Caenorhabditis elegans: one gene and its partners. The protein of the gene in region 1 interacts with the protein of each later gene in a pairwise test. Each region holds a gene or a part of one and is shown on either strand. Other genes may lie near its edges.

Evidence for each region.
Region 2: the proteins of F13H10.1 (region 1) and toe-2 interact in a two-hybrid assay, tested with the Caenorhabditis elegans proteins (one large-scale study listed by BioGRID).
Region 3: the proteins of F13H10.1 (region 1) and cash-1 interact in a two-hybrid assay, tested with the Caenorhabditis elegans proteins (one large-scale study listed by BioGRID).
Region 4: the proteins of F13H10.1 (region 1) and T28D6.4 interact in a two-hybrid assay, tested with the Caenorhabditis elegans proteins (one large-scale study listed by BioGRID).

Annotation. Positions count from the first base shown.
Region 1 is NC_003282.8:11,002,694-11,005,591, forward strand, and holds F13H10.1 (MADF domain-containing protein), read left to right. Parts: upstream 1-1,879; 5' UTR 1,880-1,891; coding exon 1,892-2,033; intron 2,034-2,078; coding exon 2,079-2,152; intron 2,153-2,210; coding exon 2,211-2,351; 3' UTR 2,352-2,376; downstream 2,377-2,898. Other genes in the region: F13H10.9 (uncharacterized protein), read left to right, coding at 312-447, 492-599, 650-715, 1,004-1,108.
Region 2 is NC_003280.10:6,516,688-6,523,201, forward strand, and holds toe-2 (Target of ERK kinase mpk-1), read right to left. Parts: upstream 4,689-6,514; 5' UTR 4,501-4,688; intron 2,982-4,500; 5' UTR 2,975-2,981; coding exon 2,806-2,974; intron 2,762-2,805; coding exon 2,431-2,761; intron 2,378-2,430; coding exon 2,002-2,377; intron 1,954-2,001; coding exon 1,321-1,953; intron 1,242-1,320; coding exon 1,126-1,241; intron 1,013-1,125; coding exon 883-1,012; intron 835-882; coding exon 724-834; 3' UTR 501-723; downstream 1-500. Other genes in the region: C56E6.7 (uncharacterized protein), read left to right, coding at 1-170.
Region 3 is NC_003283.11:10,360,311-10,366,465, forward strand, and holds cash-1 (Striatin N-terminal domain-containing protein), read left to right. Parts: upstream 1-1,950; 5' UTR 1,951-2,014; coding exon 2,015-2,071; intron 2,072-2,119; coding exon 2,120-2,227; intron 2,228-2,272; coding exon 2,273-2,459; intron 2,460-2,502; coding exon 2,503-2,681; intron 2,682-2,733; coding exon 2,734-2,786; intron 2,787-2,833; coding exon 2,834-3,272; intron 3,273-3,321; coding exon 3,322-3,667; intron 3,668-4,143; coding exon 4,144-4,691; intron 4,692-4,740; coding exon 4,741-4,869; 3' UTR 4,870-5,624; downstream 5,625-6,155. Other genes in the region: putative tubulin polyglutamylase ttll-15, read left to right, coding at 34-162, 274-399, 450-583, 634-934.
Region 4 is NC_003281.10:11,358,826-11,366,473, forward strand, and holds T28D6.4 (Nephrocystin 3-like N-terminal domain-containing protein), read left to right. Parts: upstream 1-1,630; 5' UTR 1,631-1,662; coding exon 1,663-1,824; intron 1,825-2,430; coding exon 2,431-3,033; intron 3,034-3,093; coding exon 3,094-3,594; intron 3,595-3,738; exon of another isoform or gene 3,739-3,961; intron 3,962-4,081; coding exon 4,082-4,565; intron 4,566-5,076; coding exon 5,077-5,546; intron 5,547-6,092; coding exon 6,093-6,548; intron 6,549-6,909; coding exon 6,910-7,209; 3' UTR 7,210-7,373; downstream 7,374-7,648.

The DNA of each region.
Region 1 (2,898 bases):
TTTTCTAATCAAATATGGTTGAAATCTAATCAAATATGGCTGAGATCGTGCCATATTGGATTAGATTTCGACCATATTGGATTAGATTTGTTTTCTAATGAAATATGGAGGGAATCTAATCTAACATGGATTTCTAATCTAATATGGAGCAAATATAATGCAATATGGATTTTCTAAACAAATATGGTTGAAATCTAATTAGACTACTAAGCGTTTGTCTGAGTGCTACTGAAATTGTGATCTAGTTTTCTAAAATTATAACAAAGCAAATATTCATTTCAAAAACTGATACAATTTTTTTCATGTTTCAGGCAAGCTAAGAACGGCGTGGTTCAAGCAAGCATTAAACCAGGGAATCGATTAAATATCAAAGACATTTCAAAATCCACGGATACTGTGAGATCTCATCGAGAAGAATCATCTAGAAGCCATGAAACAATTGGACAGGTTAGTTATTAATTAAGAACAAAAATTATAAATATGGATTTCAGTATGAAGAACGAATAACCGGTGTGTCAAATGCTTCCAATAATAATTCAAGATCCGGTGCAGCTACTGGAATTGCACAGAGATTTAGAGATGAAGAAGCTGCGAAAAATGTAAGAAACTTTTTTGAAAATTAAACGGTTTTGTTGATTTTTATTTTTAGAAACGGCTGGACACCATATCCGAGATAGCAATGTCAAATGATTCATTGCAAAGGAATGACTCAAAGGTACATAATCTATTAATATTGAACTCTAACACGCTTTGAAAATTAGTATTTCAGTCTCTTTTAGTCTTGCGCTTTTTTTTGGATTTCAAATTCAACAATTAAAAATTTTAAGAAACCACTTTTCGTGAAAGTTGAAAATCACTATTTCTAAATAATAATAAAAACTTGTAGTCTCCGTTAGTATTGCGCTTACATAAATTTAGTAGAGTTTGAAATCAATGTAATCTATGAAATCAAATAATGGAATTATTTCAACACCACATTTCGCAAAATAATAATTGTTTTCAGACAAACGTATTCAATAACATTGATGGTTCACGAAAAACAATATCCCCGATGGAAGTTGATCTGAATCCGGGTTTGAGCAGTTCGATCAATTTGGAAAAAATATGATTATCACTAGCTATCACCATGTCTAAAACTATATCATTTTTGAAATCGATATCATGATGGAAAAACGGAAGATCTCTTGTTTCTTGAAAAATAAAGTTATTTCCTAATATATTTTTAGCTTCAAAATATATATAGTAATTGTCACAAAGGCAGACTCTGATTTAATAAAATATGTGAAACCAGGTGTGGGCGGCGATTGAAAATTTTTGGCAATTGTCAGTTGTTGTAAGTTTTCATATCCAAACGATTATTTTGAAATTTTCAAATATCACATTGCATTCAATAATTATCTGGCAAATCCCAAAAATTATGTTCATGACTATTAGAAAAGATATAAGTATCTCGTCATTGGAAACCAGACATTTTTCCATCTCATCTTACAGTAATTCCAATTACACTTTTGCATCTTACGTACAATTTAGTAGAAACCCAGCGCAAAACGAAATGCGATATCATGTGAGAACAAACATAATACAAACAAATACATATCGGTGAGTCTCCAAGAAGTTCAAGCTTTTCCCAGTCTGTTTGCTTTTTGGGCCTTCAAAACTTTTTTTACTTTTTTGCGCAAGCATGGTCGTTGAGAAGTGTTAGGACACTCCTTTTTTCCACTCCTTCTTCATCCAAAATGAATGACAAAACTCTTGAGGAATTCACTTTGAGCGTCCACCACTTTCCAGACACTTTCACACATTTTTAATTTGTTTTCATGTCTTTTTTCTTTACTTAAATCTTCATTTTAAAGATTTAATTATACTTTAAAAATAATAGTTCATAGTTGCAATGTTGGATCACAATAGACTGGAAGAATTTATCGAACAAATTCGTCTTACTCCAGCAATATGGAAAAATCGAGAATTTGATATATCTCGTGAGCATATGAATGAAATTTGGGCTCATTTCGGGCACACTTTTGATATTTCTCGTGAGTTTTGCACATATATGAAAATAATATCCAACAGATTTTTAGCAAAGGAAGCTGAAATGCAATGGGAATATCTCATTCGGCTTCATCGATTTATGAATAGAAATGCAAGTTTAGAGGTGAGCAGAACAATTTAAATTTCAAGAAATAAATTTCAAACGAAATGTTTATTTTCAGCAATTTCGAATTGAAGTTCCTTCCCTAGAAGATGATTTTACACCGGCAGATACTCTTGTTGCTGAATCACTTGCTATTTTCTTGAAACCAACATTAGATGAACTTTTATTGATATCGAAACCATCAGAAACTTCCGTCTGAAACTGCAATAAATATTTTTTGTTTTTTTTAAATATTTAATATTGCTAAACGATATTTTGAAACTTACAAATGTAGTGATAAAGTGAGTTTTCAAATCCAATCATTGCCAGGAAAAAGGTTTTTTTTAATTTTGGGGAAAGAAAATAATAAACTAATAAGTTCTGAAAGTAGATTTTCTGGAAAAATGTTTTCTCAATTTATATCGGCCTGCTAATGTAAGCCATCCAAACAGCGCTAAATTCACCAAAATTCCTTATGATTATTTTTGTACAGTTTTTACGCGGGTATTTGCAACTCATTACTTTGGAAATCGGTCAAAAAATTGTTCCACTAAAAATAATATTAATAATATATGTTGATTATGTTTTTAAATGCCCGGGGAGATGATCGATAATGCGACAAAAGACTGTAATTCTAAAGAAACACACATTTTTAAAAATTGGAATTTTGCCAAAGCTTTCATTCAGAAATTTATAATTATGATTGATTTTCAAATGTGCTATTCAGCAATGTTGAACTATTATTCGTCTTATAATATATACCCAGT
Region 2 (6,514 bases), on another chromosome or scaffold:
GAGAGGGCGGATCGGTTGAAGACAGTGGCAAACCGCTTCGTGCTGTTGCGTGTCCTATTAAAGTGCGGCTGAATAATAGGTGTCCGTCGTCGTCGACTTCGGCGCCATTCGTCCGTCTGTCAGTCCGTCAAACTTCTCCGGCCGCAGCTTCTTCATTTTCGAGAAACTGACGAATGCAACTCGATTATCCGATTTACTACTGCGCAATAGTTTTCTGGCCAGAAAAAAAACAGTTTGAAGGACGGAAGAATAAGATGAAGCCGCTATTGTGATGAGAAAAGTAGAAAAAGTGACGTAAATTCACGATGGCAACTCGTATACGGAAGACTATACGGTAGGTGTCTTCAAGAAGTCAAGCGAAAAGTTAATTGTTGCTAAATTGGAACTTTTTTGCAATGTTCTAGACTATCAAAAAACAATTGTACGGTAAGTGTTTGTAAATCGGATGCTAATGCCAATTATGGCATTGTTTCCGTTTCGACCTGAATGTAGAAAAAACTGTAAATCAAAAGATTTCATTAAAGGAAAAACAGAAAAAAATCAACTTTCTACTGAAAGTAAAGACCCGATTGAGATATTGGGTGGTGGTAAAAGCGAGATGGTACAGTAGATGCATTCGGCATATGACATTTTTGTATGCATAAAATCAATCGAATCTAGATCATTCCGAAGCTAAAACAATTAAATTACAGACATTTAGGGATTATAAAATTTCGAGTTGCTTTATATCATTCCTGGGAAAAAGTCGTTGTACAATTTCGGGTAGAATTTCTTGAAGTTCATCAATTGTTTCTTCTTTTCTGTCAGCGACAATTCCTTGTTGTCGATAACTGACTGAAAGCAATAAAATTATTACAGGAACCAAACTATTCATAAACTCACATTGATCATGGTTACCAGTGCTGAGTCAGTCTCATTCAGTCCATCTTTACTTTTCGAAGTTTTTGAACGAATTGATTCTCTTCGAACTGTATATCTCACTGGTGTCAGGTCACCTTCAAGCGAATTGTGTCTGAAAAATTATGTTTAATTGCTAAAAAATACAATTTCAAACAGGAAAAAAAGGCATGCAAAACAGAGAGAAGCATTCCGAACAAAACAATATTAATTTGTGAATTACTATACTTTCTCTCTTTTCGTTGCCATTTAATTTGTCCATTTACTGACTTTGCTCGAAGAGAGCTTTCCAATTGTGCCGGGCGTTGACCTAGTTTTCCTTTTTGTCGCAGTTCAACGAGGGTCTGAAAAGATTAAAAATTCCAGATAATTAAAAATAGCCAAAATCTCTGTTTTTCAGGTTTTAAAATTTCTGTAACAAACCTCGATGAAAATGTCTTGTTGAACATTTGTCATACATCCTCTCGGGAAAATAAAAGAAGACAGCTCTCCAATTATGACATTCACATTCTCTTTGTATCTCCGTGGATCCTTTTTCCCCAAATAATATGGACTTCTAAGATCTTCCACTGCATCCGTTCGCATAGTAAGTTGTAGCCACTGCACAAGTTGGTCGATCGTCTTGCGTATAGGATGAGGAACCATCAAGAAGATGTACATGACTGCCGTCGACAATTTTTCACCAGAATCCATATCGTTAATCAACTGCTGGGCAATCTTTGTAAGAAGAGGAGCGAATTCTGATGGGAACAACGGTGATGATCCGTTCTGTGTCATCTTCTCAAGACGGTTTTTCACTGCATCCAATGCTGCTCGACACCAAAGGTATAATTGTTCGTTATGGCTTGTTTTATGATTACTTGCGACAGGTTTCGCCTCAAAATAAAGTAATGGAGCACAGCAACGAGCCATCTGAAACCATTGACTTGCATCCCGGATCAATGGATGTGTTTCGATTAACAAATCCATATGGTCTTCCTGGTGCGGGTCAAGCCTTTCTTCACTTGCACCCAGTCCAACTTTTCCCAGAATGGATGATAAAAATGATGCATTGTTCTGAAATGAAATTATGTAAGTTTATGATCAAATATTTGTATTTAATACCTTTGAATCTTGTACCGGAAGAGCAACATCTTCGAGAAACTCAACGTCAATCAAGCTGAGTAAATGGAAGAGAGACAATTCATAGACTTCCGCTTCTTCCTCTTTTATCAACTGTTGTTCTGCTTTTTTGAGTTTTTTCTCATTCTTTTCTGAAGAAGACGAGAACAGACTCCACGTCGATTTCAAATTTGTCGAGCTTCCATCTTTTAAATTATCTTTGTCTTTGTCCCGACCTCGAGAATTGGATCTATTCCGGCGAACGAATGGAGAAAATAATCTCTTGATACTGTTACTGCGACGGCTGCTTTCTGATCGCGAAACTGATGCAGAATCGTCATGATTTCTTGAAGCGATCGGAGTATTCACAATATATAATCTAAAAATAAAAACAAGTAATTTAATATCATTCGAGATAAAAAGTTTGCTCACGATTCAGAATCTCCTCCAAGCCTGTAAAATGTACGTTCAGAATCAACAAATTTCTTCTGATGAGATTCTACACTTTGAATAGTATTCGACTCTAACCAAATTTCAAGCAGTTTTACAGCGTTGCTTCTTCCGATATTGTCGCGTGGAAACTCGTTGCGATGTGTTTCGATATATGCTGTAAGAATATCTGCAGCTTCGGCTCCTGTGAAGTGTTCTTCAGATTTTCTGAGCACGGATATGCTTCTTTTGAAATATGATTGCATTTGTTCCATCGTGTCTTTTGCTTTGAACTGGGATCGTGCTTGAGGCTGACTATTGTTTTCCTTATCATCTGAAGAAAAAATATTGAAATTTTTTATACTGACTGAAACAAACCGTCACGAGCTGGTTCGATTTTCAACGCGCTTCGCTGTGGCTTCATTGGAGCTTCTTTTCGTAATATCCCTCTCGGAGGTTTAGGCGGCGGCGACGGTGTGTTTTCCAAAATTACTGAATGAACAACATCTTCGTCATATGGGATACTGAAGTGACGAGACGAACTCATTTTTGACCTGAGGACATGATGGACGTTTTTGTGGTTAAAAGCTGGTAAGACACATGCAAAGCACACGGGAAAATTGGACAAAGGTGCATTTTATTCGAAAAAGTAGTGAGAACAAATTTTAAAAGTAGAAAATTGCATTTTTTTTAAACTTCTTTCATGCAAAACTTAACATTTATTTGTGAGAAACCTTGAAATTCGTAACAAAAAAGAGCGCTATATTTAAATTCTTATTGATGCCGCGAAATAATTAGTCCGAAAGGGCGCGTTTGCTGCGCACTACTGTAGGCCGAAAATTATCCATAAAATACATAGCATAACATTGTTTTTAAACTAAGTTTGAAACAATTATAAAACTGAAAAATGGCTGAAATGGTATTGGAAATTGCAATAAAGACATTTATAAACGTTCTAAAGTTGTTTTCCGTCAAGTGTCCCACGGTGTTATAAAGGAAACAATCATAAAACGTTGCAATATTGATTCGTCATGGGACTATTCTGCTCAATAAATTGTTGTTCGTTCTTACATTTTCCCCGACACTCTGCAAGAATATTGTTTTGTCTAGAAGATTCTCACGCTCAAAAGTTTCAATGTCCATGTTCTGGTTATCAGCAAAAAGGAAAAGCGCGTTTCCATTTCGTTGAAACCGTCCATCGATCACTGATAAGACTTCATCAGCATAGTTTCCACTGTTCGACCCTCCTACACTTCTCACCTCATTTATTTTAATGTGTATTACGATTTTACATGTGTTTTTTAAAGTTTCTATGGCCACTGAAACCCTATTTTATGACTAGCCTTTTTTATCTAGAACTATTGACAGTAGTGGTTTTTGTCTGAAATAGTTTGCAGGAAGAGAGTAATTAAATATTTGAACCGTAAATGTAAGCTAATTTTCGTTGAACCAACTCCATTGAATTCTTTTAAATTCCCTGACGAATAATGTAACACAGACGCGAAATTTTGCGTCAAAAATACGGTTCCTGGTCTCGACACGACGAAGTTTTATTGAATGCAAGAAGATGTGCTCCTTTAAAGTACTTCAAACTTTCGTTGCTGCGGAATTTTCATCAATTTTAAGTTTTTTGCACGGTTTGTTAAAATGTATGTTTTTGATTGTTTTATTTTAGTTTTAAATAAATACATTTTTACCAAAAAATTCCAGACAAACGAGAGTTTGAAATTACAGTAATCTTTAAATACGCACACCTATTTTCACTTAACAAAAAGTGCCCTGTCAAGACCCGGTACCGTATTCTAATTATTTCACGATTATAACAGATCAGGCGTAGGTCATTCTTCCAGACGGGTTATAGATTTTTTGTCTTGTAAGCAGGCAAATATTTATATGCATATGTGGGATTACTCAGAACTAAATTTGAAGTTCCAATTTCAAAAGTAGTTACGGATTTTCTGTTTTAACAAAGTAATTTTATAGAGTTTTAAATGAATTTCTGCTAAACATTAAATAAAATTATTTTTCGATTGCATTCGAAACAATTGTATTCTTGGAATGATTTAGATATACCTTGATTGACAGCTGCTAACAGAATACAGTCGATATATGACGTGTCCAAGTTTACTTTGATTTTCCCAAACTGGTCGAGATGTCGATGAAATTTGCATTTTTTCGCTTTTCTAAATAAACAGACAGCCTTGACGTTGGCCGGCTACCGTAACACAATAATCTCACAAACTGACGACACTGGGGTTTTTTTGCTGACACACTCAATTTTTTTCAGTTTTCTTCCCAAAAGTCAACATATATATTCCTTTTTCCAACAGATAAACAAAACATAAAATGGCAATAGTTGAAAGAAATTCGAAAGATAGAGAAATTGCGGCAAGCGGCGTTGAAAAGATTACGGTGGCCAGGGAGACTGGCACGGACACAGCACAAAGGAGCACTTATTCATTTGAATAGTTTAGTTTGATAGACTATTGATTTTATATTTATCAAGGCGGAACTAACTGAAAATGGGTGTTTACCGCGTGTTTTTGTTTTCAGTTATTCAGCTGTAGTACGTTGATAGTTTTTGAATATCAAAATAGTTTATCTAAATAGTATCACAACTAAATACCAACTATAATTTAGTCAAGGAATTTGTGGTACAGATAATTTTTTTGAGAATTATAACGAACTATTTTATAAGCATTGTCTCATAATACAGAACCATATTGTAATAACTTAAAACTCTATGATAAAAATCACAGTCAGAAAAATTAATTGGTAAACGTAGAATTTTAATCAAGGTTACAACTATTGGGCCAAAACAGTATCACTATGAGACTTCAAAACAAGACGTAGTAGGTCATTCTAAAACTAAATTCGGACTAGGTCATCATAAAAAAATTTATCTCAACTCTGAACCCTTGACTTTCAATCTGAAAGTATTATTTCACTAGATTGGAGGCCGAAGGAATATTTCCAAAAGTGGATTTTCGTAAAAAAAAACATTTTTTAATGGTTTCAAAGTTGTCAAGAGGAAGGAAGCTTCTGGAAGCTTTTTGAAAATTATTTGTATTTGAAACATATCTGAATTTTTTTTCATCTAATTTTTTATATAGAAAATTTAGGGTTTTATAGTTGAGTTTCGCTGCTTGCTAGTTGGGAAAATATTAAAATTTTTATGGTGCTAATGACCGAATATCATTTCTGTTCAAAAAAAATTCATGGATTTTTACGATCTACGATCAAAAAGCGACACAAATCTAAATAGACTATAGACTATATCATAGACTAGATAGTTACACCAAAGAAATAGGAAAAATTGTAAGTTAACTGTTTTGCTAACAGTAAAATAACAAGTTGGCTTTGTACATAGATACAACAGAGTGGACTTAGGTATCTGAAAAATGGCGTTTTCAAAAATGTTTCAAGGTCGTGAACATGAGTGAATTAATATAAACTTCTCAAATTTTTCTAAGCTGTTCCAATATTCATAACCCGGTATATCCATATTGATCAGGATTGCCACGTCATAGAGCCCTCAAACATCGACTGACAGGATTTTCCGATGGCCCTTTCGGTCTGCACGCACCGCCTGTGTTTTGTCAACGAAATATCGGTCCCGTCGACGACGACAACTGGGTCTCATTCTCACTCTCTGCATAATGAATGATGGCCTCTCTCCTGCATCTTCTCTCACTCTCTGTTCAGGCGGGGAAACCCCGTGTACGAGGACACCCGCTCTCTTGTCCACTCGATTTACAATTACTCATTGGTTCGATGACCGTTCCCCGCTCGTTGTGCACTTTTGATCTTTGGTCGCTTACGTTTAATCCTTGAGAATTGATACTATTTTGTTTTTATTTGATATCAAAACATTTTCCGTTCAATTTATTACCACCTATTCAAGACACACACTCCTCATTCTCATATCACTGAATCTACTTGATCCTTTCCGTTTTCAACGTTCTATTCTCAAGGTTGTTTGGTCATCTAGCGTGGTCAGTGTTGTAAAGCGCAAAGTGTTATCTTTTCTGTAAATATCATTCCCAGCTGGCATTAAACCTTGGTTCATCGGAACAAGTTTATGAAA
Region 3 (6,155 bases), on another chromosome or scaffold:
TAAAAGCTTTAATAATATACCCAAGATATTCAGATAAATTCATTGAAAAAATACTTCAACACTCAAAAAATGAGCTTCAAGAGTACAATTGATTCTTATTTGGGAATGCAAGGAATGGATACAAGCAAGATTTGGTTGCAGATAAGAAATATTATTGGAGAGGTAATATTTAGAACTCTCAACTAATCTCTGTGATGCATATTTTCTAGATATTCAAAGGAGACGATCAAAAAATTTTGCACACTTTTTCTGAACTTCATTATCTTTTTTCAGGTCTTCCGAACACAGCAAACAAAAATGCTAATGAGTCTTCAAAACTTGAAATTAAATCCACAATACTTTGAATTAAGCAGATTTGATTTTGTGGTCGATGATCAATTGAACGTTTTTCTTATGGAGGTATGCATTTATTTTTCAGAATCATTAAAATTTACAAGACATCTTTGCAGGCGAATATGTCTCCTAATCTCTCTTCAGGTCATTTTAAACAAAATCAAATACTTTATGAACAAGTTCTAATGAACATTTTCTCTCTAACTGGAATTTCAACACCAATTACAAAAGAAGCTGACATCTTGTTCAAGTTCGTTTATTCCATTTGAAGCTGTCCACAAATTAGATTTCCCGTTCTAGATCACGTACATCCGAACAAAATCCTCTTGTTAACTCCCGAGACATCAATCTTCCGCTGAAATTTTGTGTTGAAAATAAATGTGAATCATGTGATGAGGCTCCAGAATGCCAGCTATGCGGACACTGTATGAATACAGAAACAAGGAAAATACTGGAGCAGACTTTTGTGGAAAATTCGAACAGGAAGCAGATGAAACGAATTCAGTTCGACTATGAAAATCATCATCCATTAACAAAAGAAGATCATCTTCTCACATTATGGTTAAGCACCAAATGTCAATTGGATAATACGTGGTGTTAAAGTAGCGTGCTGTACATTTTATTATTGTATTGGCCAAAACTATGACGGTCCCGGTTTTTTCAAAAAATACTTAGAAATTTTCAAATGCAACTTTCTGGGAGTTTTTAAGACAATCTTGCATAGCGGGTTTTGAGATTGAAGTTTTTTTGAAAGTTTCTCTTGATCTCATTATTTTATTCAGTAAAAATTGGTCACCAACTGAACGTTATCTTACTGTTTTTGAAAAATAAATTGAATATATCGGATATAAGTAATCAATTTTAATTTTCAAATAAATCATTCCGTTTTTGTTTTTCAATTTTGTTTTTGAAACAATCTTTTCGATGAAAAAAGATATTATGTGATGCAAATAAGTACCTGAATATGCTTGAAACGTAATACGCGTGAAATTTAGATAAAATTTGAGACAATAAAATCTCATTCCTTTTTTCTAACTACATCAGCAGGTGATTAAATAATATAATAAAAGTTTCTCCAAGATCCAAAACCCAAGTAAATGCATTTGATTTTCAGCTGGTGGTTTTATGTTGGCAAAGTTCAAGTTTCTCATATTTTTGGTTAACGGATACAGTCTGCTAAGCCACTTAATATATTAGCATTTTGAAATTCAAATGGAAAATAGATTTCACATTTGTATTTTTTAATTGTTAGTGGCATACGGTACTTATAGAAAGTCTACCTTTCAAATTTGAAAAGGCGCCAATAATTGCAACGAATATGCGCCCCATTGTTAATATGAAGACGCGCGCCGAACACGCGACGCAGACAACGGCACTCGTTTTACTCGCTCTTCCCTTTTCTTCCTCGTGCCTCGGGGCTGCGTCCACCTAATCGAATCAGTTTTTCATCAGTCTCGTACGACTTGATGCTACTTTTATTTTATCAGCTCATCTATATTGATTACAGCCCTAATAAGCAGTTTCAATTTTGCCACAAACTTCTCGTCCTCTATTGCAATTAAACTTTTTGAAAATCTTCTTATACACGTTTCGTAATTTTTTTCAACTGTTCTTTCCAGCTTTTGCACTTGCTTCATTAACGTAAATTACTCGAAATAAGATCGGATTCGAGTAGTTTACAATGGAGGACGCCAGTCAATTGTCAAACTCACAAAATGACAAAGCAAAGGACGAAACGGTAAGTTGAGTTGGAATTCAGCTTCTGTAAAAATCGAAAACTTTACAGACTCGTCCTCAGTATACAATGTCGGGTATTTTGCACTTTATACAACACGAATGGACAAAAAATGAGTTAGATCGAACTAGGTGGGAAGCAGAGAGAGCCGAAATGCAGGTGAGTAAATATTTTTTCTACGATTGTAATGTGAAATTTTTGTAGGCTCGTATTGCTTTCCTACAAGGAGAAAGAAAAGGTCAAGAAAATTTGAAACAAGATCTTGTCCGTCGTATCAAAATGCTCGAATTCTGCCTGAAACAAGAACGTGCCAAAAATTATCGACTAACCCACAACGGCGAAGAACCACCATCACTGGAAGAATCTCCAAATGAAAATTCAGCGCCAAGCGGTAATTTCTATGAAGACGTTCCGATCGAAAATATATATTTCAGAAAACAGCCATTTGACGGCCGACCTTGATGCATACATAAATGATGCTGGTGAAGCTGGAGGTAGTTTCAGGCAGGGACGCCTTCTTCTCAAACGTTATCTGGAAGAAATTGGATACAGCGAGCACATCATGGATGTTCGATCCTTCCGTGTAAAAAATCTTCTCGGATTATTACCCCAAGTATGAAAATTCAATAGTTTGAAAAAAAAACCAATCTGTTTTGAACTTCCAGGCTGATCTTCCATCCAGTGAACGTCTCAATGGTAGAAAAGAGAAAAGTGACAGGTACTTATTCACTACTTTCTTTTTGAACACATAGCAATCGTTCTAAGTAATTACAGTGATTCCGATGACGGACATGATGATGCAGCCTTGGATGCTGACGCCTCAAAGGCGTTTGAAGAGTTTGATTTTCTAAACAATATGGATGCGAAAGAAAAAGGTTCTGACGATGACTGGGCAGGAAAAGGAGCTTCATTCGAAAAACTGATAAAACAATACAAGGACGATCCAAAAGTGAAGCGGCGTTCAAGGACGTCAACTGAAGAATCCGAAGAGAAAACAAGCAACGATGTTCAGAAAAATCTAGAGACTGATGTTCCACCAGGAATTCGATCAGCTATCGATGCCGCTGCACAAGAAGAACTTCCAGTTCGGCGACAAGGTAGACGTAGTGCTAATTTTGGATATGGTAACGGAAATGAGTTGGACGTTGCTCTTGGAATGCAAGATAATGATAATATGGACATTAAGGACGAGTTCAAAGATGAAGTGAGTTTTTCAGTTTTAAAAATAAAAGAAAAATAATTGTCAAATTCAGGATGATGATCCGAATGCACAACAAGTGAAGTGGAATATCAAAGTTACTCTACGATCTCACCTTGATTCGATTCGCGCGATGCAATTCCATCCAGTTGAGCCCGTACTATTTACTGCTTCGGAAGACGGTCTGATCAAATTATGGAATCTCGATCAAAAGAAAGATGAGAAACACAACAGTGGTGGTACCGAGCTTGAGCCAGTTTATACATTCCGGGGACACAAAGGCCCTGTTCTATGCTTAGTCCTGTCGCCAACTGGAGATCATCTCTACACCGGAGGTATCGATGGAAACATCTGCTGTTTCAATGTACCATCTTCAAACGGGGATCCATTTGATTCTTATGGTAAGATTTATTTCTTAATTAAAATGAGCTGTCAAAAACTAATTAATCACAATTTGCTTCATTTTGTGCAAAATCGTTTGGAAAAAAAAGATTATGCATTGAAATTAGTATCGTCCTTTCGCAGAAACGGGACACTAGATGCATAATATTTTATGAAGAATTTGGACTTTCTCAGTGCAATTTTAGAAGTTTAGTTTTCTCTCAAAATCAATTTTCTAATAAAAGTGAATCATTCGTAGCTACCACTATGACTGAAATCGTTATGAGACCCACTCGGAAAACGATGCGTGCCTTTAAGCTAACAACAAAATTTCGCCAAATTATGATAACATGTTCAAATATCAAAGTATCAGTTACCTTTTGCGATACAGATTCAAACGATTCAACGCTATTTTTAGTTTAAATTTTCGCCAAACAATAAGACTAAAGTTAATTTAATAATTAGTTCAAATTTAAGGTTATGTTATTTATTATAGATCCACGAGTCCTAACTGAAACACTTACTGGACATACGGATGCAATTTGGTCGGTGGCTTATCATTCATCAAACAGTCGCCTTGTTTCTGCCAGTTCTGATTCAACGGTTCGTCTATGGGAACCAGGAAATGGTGAACCACTTATCAGAACTATTGGTGCCCCAAAATCCGGAATACTTCCGACATCAGTTGATTTTGTATCTACGGAAACATCACATTTACTTGCTGCATACACAAATTGCTATGCTCAAATTATTGATATCGATACTGGAAGCACTGTCATGGTGTTCGATTTCGGAGCGGTTACAGGTTCACCAACAATGAACAAAATTGTTAGTCATCCAACAATGCCTCTCACACTTATTGGCGGTGAAGATCGGACGATTCGGTACTTTGACAACACCAACGGATCGATAATTCATGAAGCTATCGCACATGTTGAGGGAGTTTCTTCTCTTGCTATTGATCCAAATGGTCTTTATCTTTTGTCTGGAAGTCATGATGGTAGTATCAGGATGTGGAATATGGAGAAACGTTCATGCCTTCAGGTATATTTTTTTATAAATTAAGAAACTGTACAAATGTAGTATTTTTCAGGAAATTTCTGCCCACCGGAAAAAGAATGATTCAGCAGTTACCTCCGTTGCTTTCCATCCTTCAAGATCTCTTATAGGATCTGCCGGTGCCGATTCTCTTGCCAAGGTGTACGTGTCAGGAAGCAACTAGAGTATCCCATTCATTTTTTTATTATTATTTCCCTATTTTCATATTTCGCCAATTTAACTTAAAGTATAATAGGAATTCGCCAGTTCGTCTCCCAGTTCATGCCCAAATCCACGCCTACATACCTTCATTTTTATTACTACAACAGTACCCTTTATTTTATTGTAGATAACCAACAACCATTTTTATTCAAATCTAAACGTAATTTATCTGTCCCCTCCTTCCCTCGATTGATTTCTTTTTAAATATGAAATTTGATCACGGGTCGAAAATGAGCATTTTGACACTTGTCAACCTAATCTGCAATCCTGTAAATATTACGTCGCAGTTAGCTCAAATTAACCATCTTCTGAAGTGGTTGCAGTGGTTATTTGGGCGAACAATTTTTTATATTTTCTATGGCAGTAATGTGAAACAACACCGATACAAATCGGGTTAAAACAATCTATAGGATATTGATTGATTAGCTCATCTTTAAACTGCACAAATTTCGACTCGTGTTCCTATTTCTCTTAGATACCCTTTCTGCGCCATGTTTTGTTCTCTCGGCATTGTTTCCATTCTCAAAACGCTTAGTTTTAATCAATAACCAGATATCCTCGAGAATCCAAATTCAGACCGTAAGTTCTCATCATTTTCCTCTACTTCATCCTCGTCTCTCTTTACCATTATTATCTGTTATTCTTTGTTTCTATCTCGGTCGACTGACAGTGTTTCAACTATGTCTTGAACTGTATCATAAATTACTGAGAATTCTAGTTTGATTTTTTGCACGAATACAGAATTTTTCACTTCTACCATTTCAGTGTTGGGCAATTGGGCAATTATCAAACGAAAATTAATGATTTCTTGAATTTTATAAATTGAGTACCGTAACCAGAAAAAAAAAACCATTTAAAACCATCTATTGATCCAATAGTCGATGAGGAATGGCAATATCTACTTTTGCTGGAAACTATGTGACCTGAATGAACATTTTCTACGTCAGACCAAACGCTGAATGGGAAGATTAAGGTATATCTATAAGCTCGATTCCAAATTGAAGAACCCAATAGATATAAATCAATCTAAAATTTTAAAGACAAAGAAAAAAAGTGAATAATAAAATATGCTAACTAACTAAATCTCGTGTCATTGTTTTATTCAATTGTTTTCTGTTCTCAAGAATCAAACTGATTAAGGATTATGTTGAAGAGAAGTTGGAAAAAAAATGTCGCCAAGTTATTTTATGTTTGACTTTTTCGCTTTTGGTTTTCGTTTTAGAAATATTTATGAATATTACGTCATAA
Region 4 (7,648 bases), on another chromosome or scaffold:
GGAATTTTTTTGGAAGTTTTAGTAAGTAATATTTTTGCAATTTTGGTATAATTTCGGCAGTTTTTGTTCCTTACAATTAGCAGCAATGCAGTTAATTTTTGGCATTTTAAGTGCAATTTTAGTGCTTTTTTTGGCAATTTTTGTAACTTTTTGACAATTTCTGGTGCATTTTTAGCACCATCGTAATCTTAGACAATTTTCAGTAACTTAAAAAATATTTCGGAGAATTAAAACGCTTTTTAATGTGGATTTTGAAAGTTTCCTACAAACACTGAAATTTGGCATTTTTGGAATATACCAACTAATAAGAAAAATTGACACTACCTCTCCTACGACACTTCTGCCTATTCCCCCTATTAATTAACTGTTCATATTCCCAGATCATTATAATCCCATTCCTTCCCCTCTCTTGCATACTTTTGTAGTATTGTCCTTGTTTCTCCTCTTCAATCTCCCGTCCTTCATCCGGGGAGGATATGTCCTACTTTTTCGAGAATTAGAGAGAGACGGAAACTGGTAATTTTAATGTGCTCGGTAGTGGTGGTGGGTTGTTGGAAGTTAACTATTTGAATGGTTTAAGTTTTTATGGATTAGTCGAAGTGTAGGTTATTGTCAACTTATAATATTAGTTGGTAAATGCCAAAACTACGCGTTTTGTGTTTTTTTTCTTATGTAGATTTGTGTTGAGCAAAAGGTGTTGTCAATTTACGTAAGTAATTTTATTGACACCCTTCTAGCTGGTAGCAATCAAATAAGGGGTCTTGGCAAGTACCTAATCATATACCAATTGACCCATATGTCACCATGAAATATTACTCTCTCTCTCTCTCTCTCTCTCTCTTTCTCTTCAACTAATCTACTAACTAATCCAGTTAATCTATAGGAGTTTGATTAGTATTTTTTGTTTTTGTTCACTCTACTTTACTTTTATTCTAAAAAAATCATTAATTTGATATTTTGACATTTACCAATAAATATTAATATTTCAAGCTGACAATTTCTCTAAATCTAGTTCTAGAAGTCATTACTAATTATTATCATAAGTTAAGAGTGCATCTGTTTTTTTTTGAAGTTTTGATAATCTCATATTATAGTACAAGTTGCAATTATCTCTAGGTCCAATGAAGATTTTTGTAGCATTTTCCGGCATTTTTCAAGGTATAAGAGGTGAAAATCAGATTAACTTTTCGACATTTTTGAATTTTTGTTGAAATTTCTGGTGTTCACTACAGAATATCATAAGTTGACCACTATGTCTACAGATCAGTTTTTGAAAATTATCAACTATACCCTATACCCTTTGCATACCCCTGAACCCAATTTTCTCACGTAAATCTACATAAAAAGAGACACTCAATGCTCCAAATGTTTGCTCTTCCTCCCTTCATTTCATTGTGCTCTCCTGTTACGGATGGGGTGCTCTTGTGCTCATCCACTGGCTCAACCGAAGGGGAAGCTCCAGATGACATGTCAATTTTGTTTCCGTCAGGCCGAGAGCCGCTTTTCCTTGATTTATGGGTTTTTGAGGAAGGAGCCCGGGTGCCGAGAAATGAATAGATTGGATTTGACTTTTAGCCCTCTTTACTTTACGTTAACAATTTACTCTATTTTTCTAATACACTTTTTTCAGAATATTCCCCTCACCAATCAAATGCTCAAGTAATGCGCCAACCATTAAGCCACGGAGCCCATGGTGCTCCGTTGGATGGAGCACCCAGAAATGTGGCAATGAGCAAGTTTTTGGAATGGTTTCAGCAGGCAAATTCTAGACGGCTGGAAATTATTGGAAAAGAGCATTCCGGAAAAACTTGGTTTGCACGGAAAGTGAGTTTTGAATAAAAATTAGGCTTAGGCCTAGCATAGGCTTACTATTAGACTTAGACTCAGGCTTAGGCTTAGGCTTTTTAGGCATAGGCTCGATTTTTTGAATGTTCGAGAAAATGCCCAAAATTGCTACGAAAATTTTTTTCTCGAAATTTACTGAAAATTTTACTTTCGTTTTTCTCAAAACCAAATTATGCTCTGTTGTTTAACCAGTATTGTCCGGTAAATCGTAGTTGCAAAATGATGCCTTGAGGCCTATTGAATGACCCTTGAAAAGGCGATGGAGCATGTGTCAAGGAGTGAGAAGTATTAATGCACATATGGGTACTTGAGAGAGAGGAGCATTATGGCTAGGGAGTTTGGGGGAGTATCGTGTGGTACAGGGAGCCCATAGAATGTCGGCTGCTCTAGAAATTCGCATAATAAAATGTTTTACTTTTTTTTTTCGAGCGGCCGACATCCTGCAGGCCAGGAATTCATTAGACTCAATGAGAGTCCCGTAAGATGTTAGCTGCTAGTTACCATAAGATTAATTATCCACCTGCTTTACAGTAGATCTACAGTACCCCTACCTCACTTCAATAATCCTACAACACCTAATTCCAGCTCTCCGAAGTGTCCGAATGCGTTGCCTCACACTTCTGCAGTCACGACGAGCCTCAATCCTCGGAGCCCCCTACCGTAATCCGATCTCTCGGAGAGCAACTGATGCGTCGATTCCCTAATCTCGTCTTACCCCGCTTAACTACAGTAACCCTTCTAGAGGATACGGTATCCGCTCTCGACCATTTTCTGCGTCTTCCCCTCGAGACCATGCCTTCCACATCGAAGCCAGTTTTCTTGGTGATAGATAGTGTGGAGGACGAGGAGACGCAGGTGCTGGTGGAGATGCTCGTTGAGATTCTGCCACCATGGATTCAAATTGTGACCACGTCACGAGACCGGACCAATTCTGAAACTGAGCTCCTCGAGCTCCATATCGACTCGGACTTTGACAAATTCATTCGCTTGAAACTCCCGCACTGCCACGTGGAAGAGGTCCGTGAAGCGTCAGACGGTTCGTGGTTCTACGTGGAGCAACTGGCGAGAGCTGTGGAACTTGGCATGGTGCCAAGTGATATGGTACCGCCGATTGGGGTAGAGAAGATGATGCACTTAGTGGCGAGAAGTCTACCGAGGAGTTTTGCGGATATTGTTCGACTGGCTAAGGTGAATTTTTAGATTGGATTATAAAAAAATATTACATTAATATATCTTAAAATTTTCCAGACCAGCCGTAACCGACCGACACGCCAGCAGCTGCTCGCCGTTTCCCAGATGCTCGTTTCCCGAGATATATCAGTTCTGGAAAAGGACATTCGCATTATCACTTCTCTTATCGGAACAGCTTCATCTGAAAATCCATCTGAAATATTCCACGTGCCGGATATCTGGTTCCAGTTGATCGGCGAGGAAAACTTCCGTTGTCATACTGCGTGGGCAGAGCACTATAAGACGAAAAGACGAAAGAGTGCTCAGGATATTTGTGAGCTCGCTTATCACCTTTCTCACTCTACAACAAATCCTTTGAATGCTGTGAAGACTCTGCAAAGCGTCGGAGCCGGGAATTTAGTTCTCCGGTGCCATGTTATCGATCTACCAACGACGGCACTTTTAAAATCAGCTGGAGCAAGAATGGAGGAAAATAATTATGACGTAGTGTATGCTTGTTCTGTTGGAGATGTCAGCTACCTGGATGCAATTCTTCGGGAGATGAAGCCGGTGCCTATGGTAAGATTTTTTTTTATTTCTGGCAGCCGACGTAATACAATATTTTTGGATTTTGCGCCAAAATTTTATGAAAAAATAATTTTTCCCTGCTGAAAAATGTTTAAAAAATTGAATTTCGCACCAAATTAGTTTTTAAATTTAAAAATTTCGCGGTAAAATTAAAGCTTGAATTTGATTTTCGCGTCGTAGCTTCTTAAAAAATAACCTTGAATTTGCGACCGAAAAATTTTGAAAAAAAAGCTGGTAGAAGTTCAACCTTTGTTCAGTGAAAAGTGAAAAGTAATAGCAGCCGACGTCTCACGGGTTGAACCCCCTCAACCATTTTGGTTGGCGAGGTCCCGTTAGTTGTCGGTTGCGATGATATGTTTCGAAATGTTTTCGAAATATCGCAGCCGACAACAAACGGGTTGGAGTCTCATTTGACCCGTACAATGTCGGTTGCTCTACTAAATCTAATCCTAATATTTTCAATCAATTTATCTTCCAGGACATCTGCTTCGGCCTGCTCACCGCCGCGGCCAGAGGAAACATTGAAATGTGCAGATTTCTGGCCGATCACTTCCCCCATCTCGTCGCTTCCTCCTGCTGCGGAGAATGGAATGCATTGAGAAGTGCCGCCTGTTACGGACAACTCGAGATCCTTCACCTTCTTCTAGAGAAAGGTGTCGACGTTGATGAATGTGGTCACAGTGATCGAACGGCTCTCCGAGCAGCCGCCTGGTCTGGCCAGCTCGCCGCAGTTCAGCTTCTCCTGCAAACCGGCGCTGAAGTTGATCGGAGGGATTCTGAGCAGCGAACCGCACTGATGGCAGCAGCATTCATGTGTCATAAGGATGTGGTGTCAGTTATTATTCAGTATGGAGCTGATGTAAATGCCATCGACAAATCCGGAGCCACCGCGTTGCACTTGAATCTTTCAAATGGCTCGAAACAAGAAGAAAACTCTGAAACAACAAAATTGCTGTTAGAACGTAAGGATTTTTAGCCTCGTCCCATTTTTTCTTTTTCAAAAAAAAATTTGACGGGAATTTCTAATTTTTAAAGATTTTTTCTATCGGGAATCAACAATTGTTTTTGGAAAAAGAGAAGTTCAAATTTTTGAGATACTATAGCGGAAAATTGAAATTTGTGGTCAAAAATTTTCCGGAAAATTATAATTTTTTAACAAAATTTTTGGCGGGGAATTCAAATTTTTTGAGAAAAAAATTGGGGGAAATTCAAATTTACGGAGAAAAATTTTCCTGAAAATTCCAGTATTTAAACATAATTTTTGGCGAGGAATTCCAATTTTAGAGAACATATTTGGGGGAAATCCAATTTTTCCCAGAACAAGTTTTGCGAAAAGTTCAAATCATTGAGATATTTTAGCGGATAATTGAAATTTTTTGGTCCAAAATTTTTATAGGAAATTTGGGAGTTTTCAGGATGTTCCAAAAACTTAAAAAAAAAATATTTTTTACAATCTACAATAAAATCTTACAGACAACGCGGACTGTAAAATTGAAGATGCCAACGGCCGCGTGGCCCTGCACCTGGCCGCCTACCACGGGGACCCCTGCCTCCAATTGATTCTTGAGAAGCACCCCATAGTTGACGTCATGGATAATATGGGACAAACTCCATTGATGTTAGCTGCTAGTCAAGGTCAATTGGAAGCTGTTCAGTTTTTGACAAAAACCGCCAAAGCAGACGTAGATGCTATCGATAACAATGGGCGAACTGCTCTTCAATGGGCGGCTATTAATGGTCACCCGGAGGTGGTAGAGTTCTTGTGCTCAGTTGGATCGGATGAGGGACATAAGGATAATGATGGTGCAGTGGCTCTACACTATGCTGTTACCCATGATCATGTGGAGCTGGTAAAGCATTTGACGAATCAGCATACGGTAGAGGCAAAGGATCGATATGGACAACATCCGATGATGATTGCGGCGGCTAATGGAAATTTGAAGGTAGGAAAATCGAATAAAATTGTTTATAGAAAATTCAAAAATTTAAAAAAAATTGCAATTTTGGGGGCCAAGTTCAAAATATTAAAAAAAAAATTAAAATCAAAGTTCCAGAAAACTTGTAAAAATTAGGTTCGAAAAAGTTTTTTATTTTTCGAATTTATGCTCGATAAAACGATAAAATGCTGCAATTTATTTTCAAAAAAAAACACATTCTAAAATTAATCCAAAAAATTTGGCGCGGAATTAAAAACTATAATAAAACTTGTTGCAAAAATTTGAACATGTTAAAAAATATTCTAAGAAATTCAAAAAATTGTTTATAGCTTTCGAAAGCACGTGGTGTCAGGCTGTCCCATTACGGTTTGATCTACAAAAAGGCGGGAATTTTTCGCCCTAAAAATGTGACGTCAGCACGTTCTTAACCATGCGAAATCAGTTGAGAACTCTGCGTCTCGTCTCCCGCATTTTTTTGTAGATCTACGTAGATCAAGCCGAAATAAGGCCTCTTGCTCTGTAAGGTCACCAAACAACAATGTATCTTTTCAGGTCCTGGAGTACCTAATGGGGATCTCCGACATAATCAACCAACCTGACCACGAAGGTCGCACTGCCTTATCCCTCGCCTCAATGGCAGCTCATACCTCAATAATCGACTTGATATCCCCTCGCATCACTGATTGGAGCCAACGGGACCACGATGGCACCCCACTAGCCCACACCCTAATCCTCTCCAATCTGATCTTCGTGGCCGAGGTTTATCTAGGCCATGGTGCCAACTCATCCGACTCGGATGCTCATGGCCGAACTTGTGTACACGTGGTCGCTTCGACGAATGACGTGGCGGCAGCGAAAATGCTGAAGAGGATTGGTGGAGTAAATTTTGAGGCAGTTGATAGAGGTGGGCGTACAGCTTTGATGACTGCAGTTTGGGCGAAACACGTGGCGATTTCGGTGTTCTTGTTGGATAGTTGTGGAGTTGACCCGAATCGAACGGATCGACAGGTATGTTAACTCACTAGTCCTACAGTACCCTAAACTACAGTAGTCTTAACCTACTGGCCGTAGTTCTACAGTAACCCTAAGATATCGTAACCCATAAACTATAGTTTGCTTAGCCTAAAACAATCATGTCCAACTAAATAAGGATCATGTATACAATACCAGTATCCTACCATATTATCACAGAGTCGCTAGAGTATAGTATCCTCTGCTTACTGCAATCCTTCAGTACCCCTGAGCTACAGTAGCCATTATTGTATAACAGAACTGCTAGAAAATAGTAACCTTAATCCTACAGTAGCCTAAGGTACTGTTACCAACAGTAAACCTATCATTCTAGATAAGATACAGTACCAATTTCCAGGGTGCCACTGCTCTCTCCATTGCCGCGCAAATCGGCGACCGCGATCTTGTCAACCTGCTCCTCAAATTTGGCGCCGAACCAGAGATCAAAGACTCTATGGGACGAACCGCCATGGATGTGGCCATGATTTCTGGCAACGAGCCAATAGTTTCTCTGCTCCAATCTGTAAATGGCTCATCCGGATCATCTGGAATTGGCTCAAGTGTCCCCAATAGCCCACTCGACGCCAGTAAACAGCGTATCCTGAAAGCCACATCATCACTGAGAATGCCTCATAGAATTGATAATAATAATCATTGATCTCATATTTTCTTTGCTGAAAAAATAGTTTTTTTTTGGAATTTGATCTTTATTAACCGGTGCTTTTTTGTATGTCATTAACTCGGTCACAGTTTTTTTTCGAATTTTTACCCAAAATCTTTCTCATATTGTCAGTATTATTATTGAAAATTAATAATAAACATTCACTGAAAGCTAAAAAAAAAGTAACATTTTCAATTCTCGCAATTTGCCGATTTGCCGGAAATTTCAATTTCGGCAATTTGTCGAAAATTTCAATTCCCACAATTTGCCGCTTGGCCGGAAATTTTCAATTCTGGCAATTTGCCGGTTTGCCGTTCCTCAACAAGAAACCTGACTCTATCCAATTTCCTCCAAAACTACAACCAACGGTCACTCCCATTAAGAAACCCCATTCAGACCGTTAGTTTCAATAAACCTGCGACCAAAAAATGAAAAA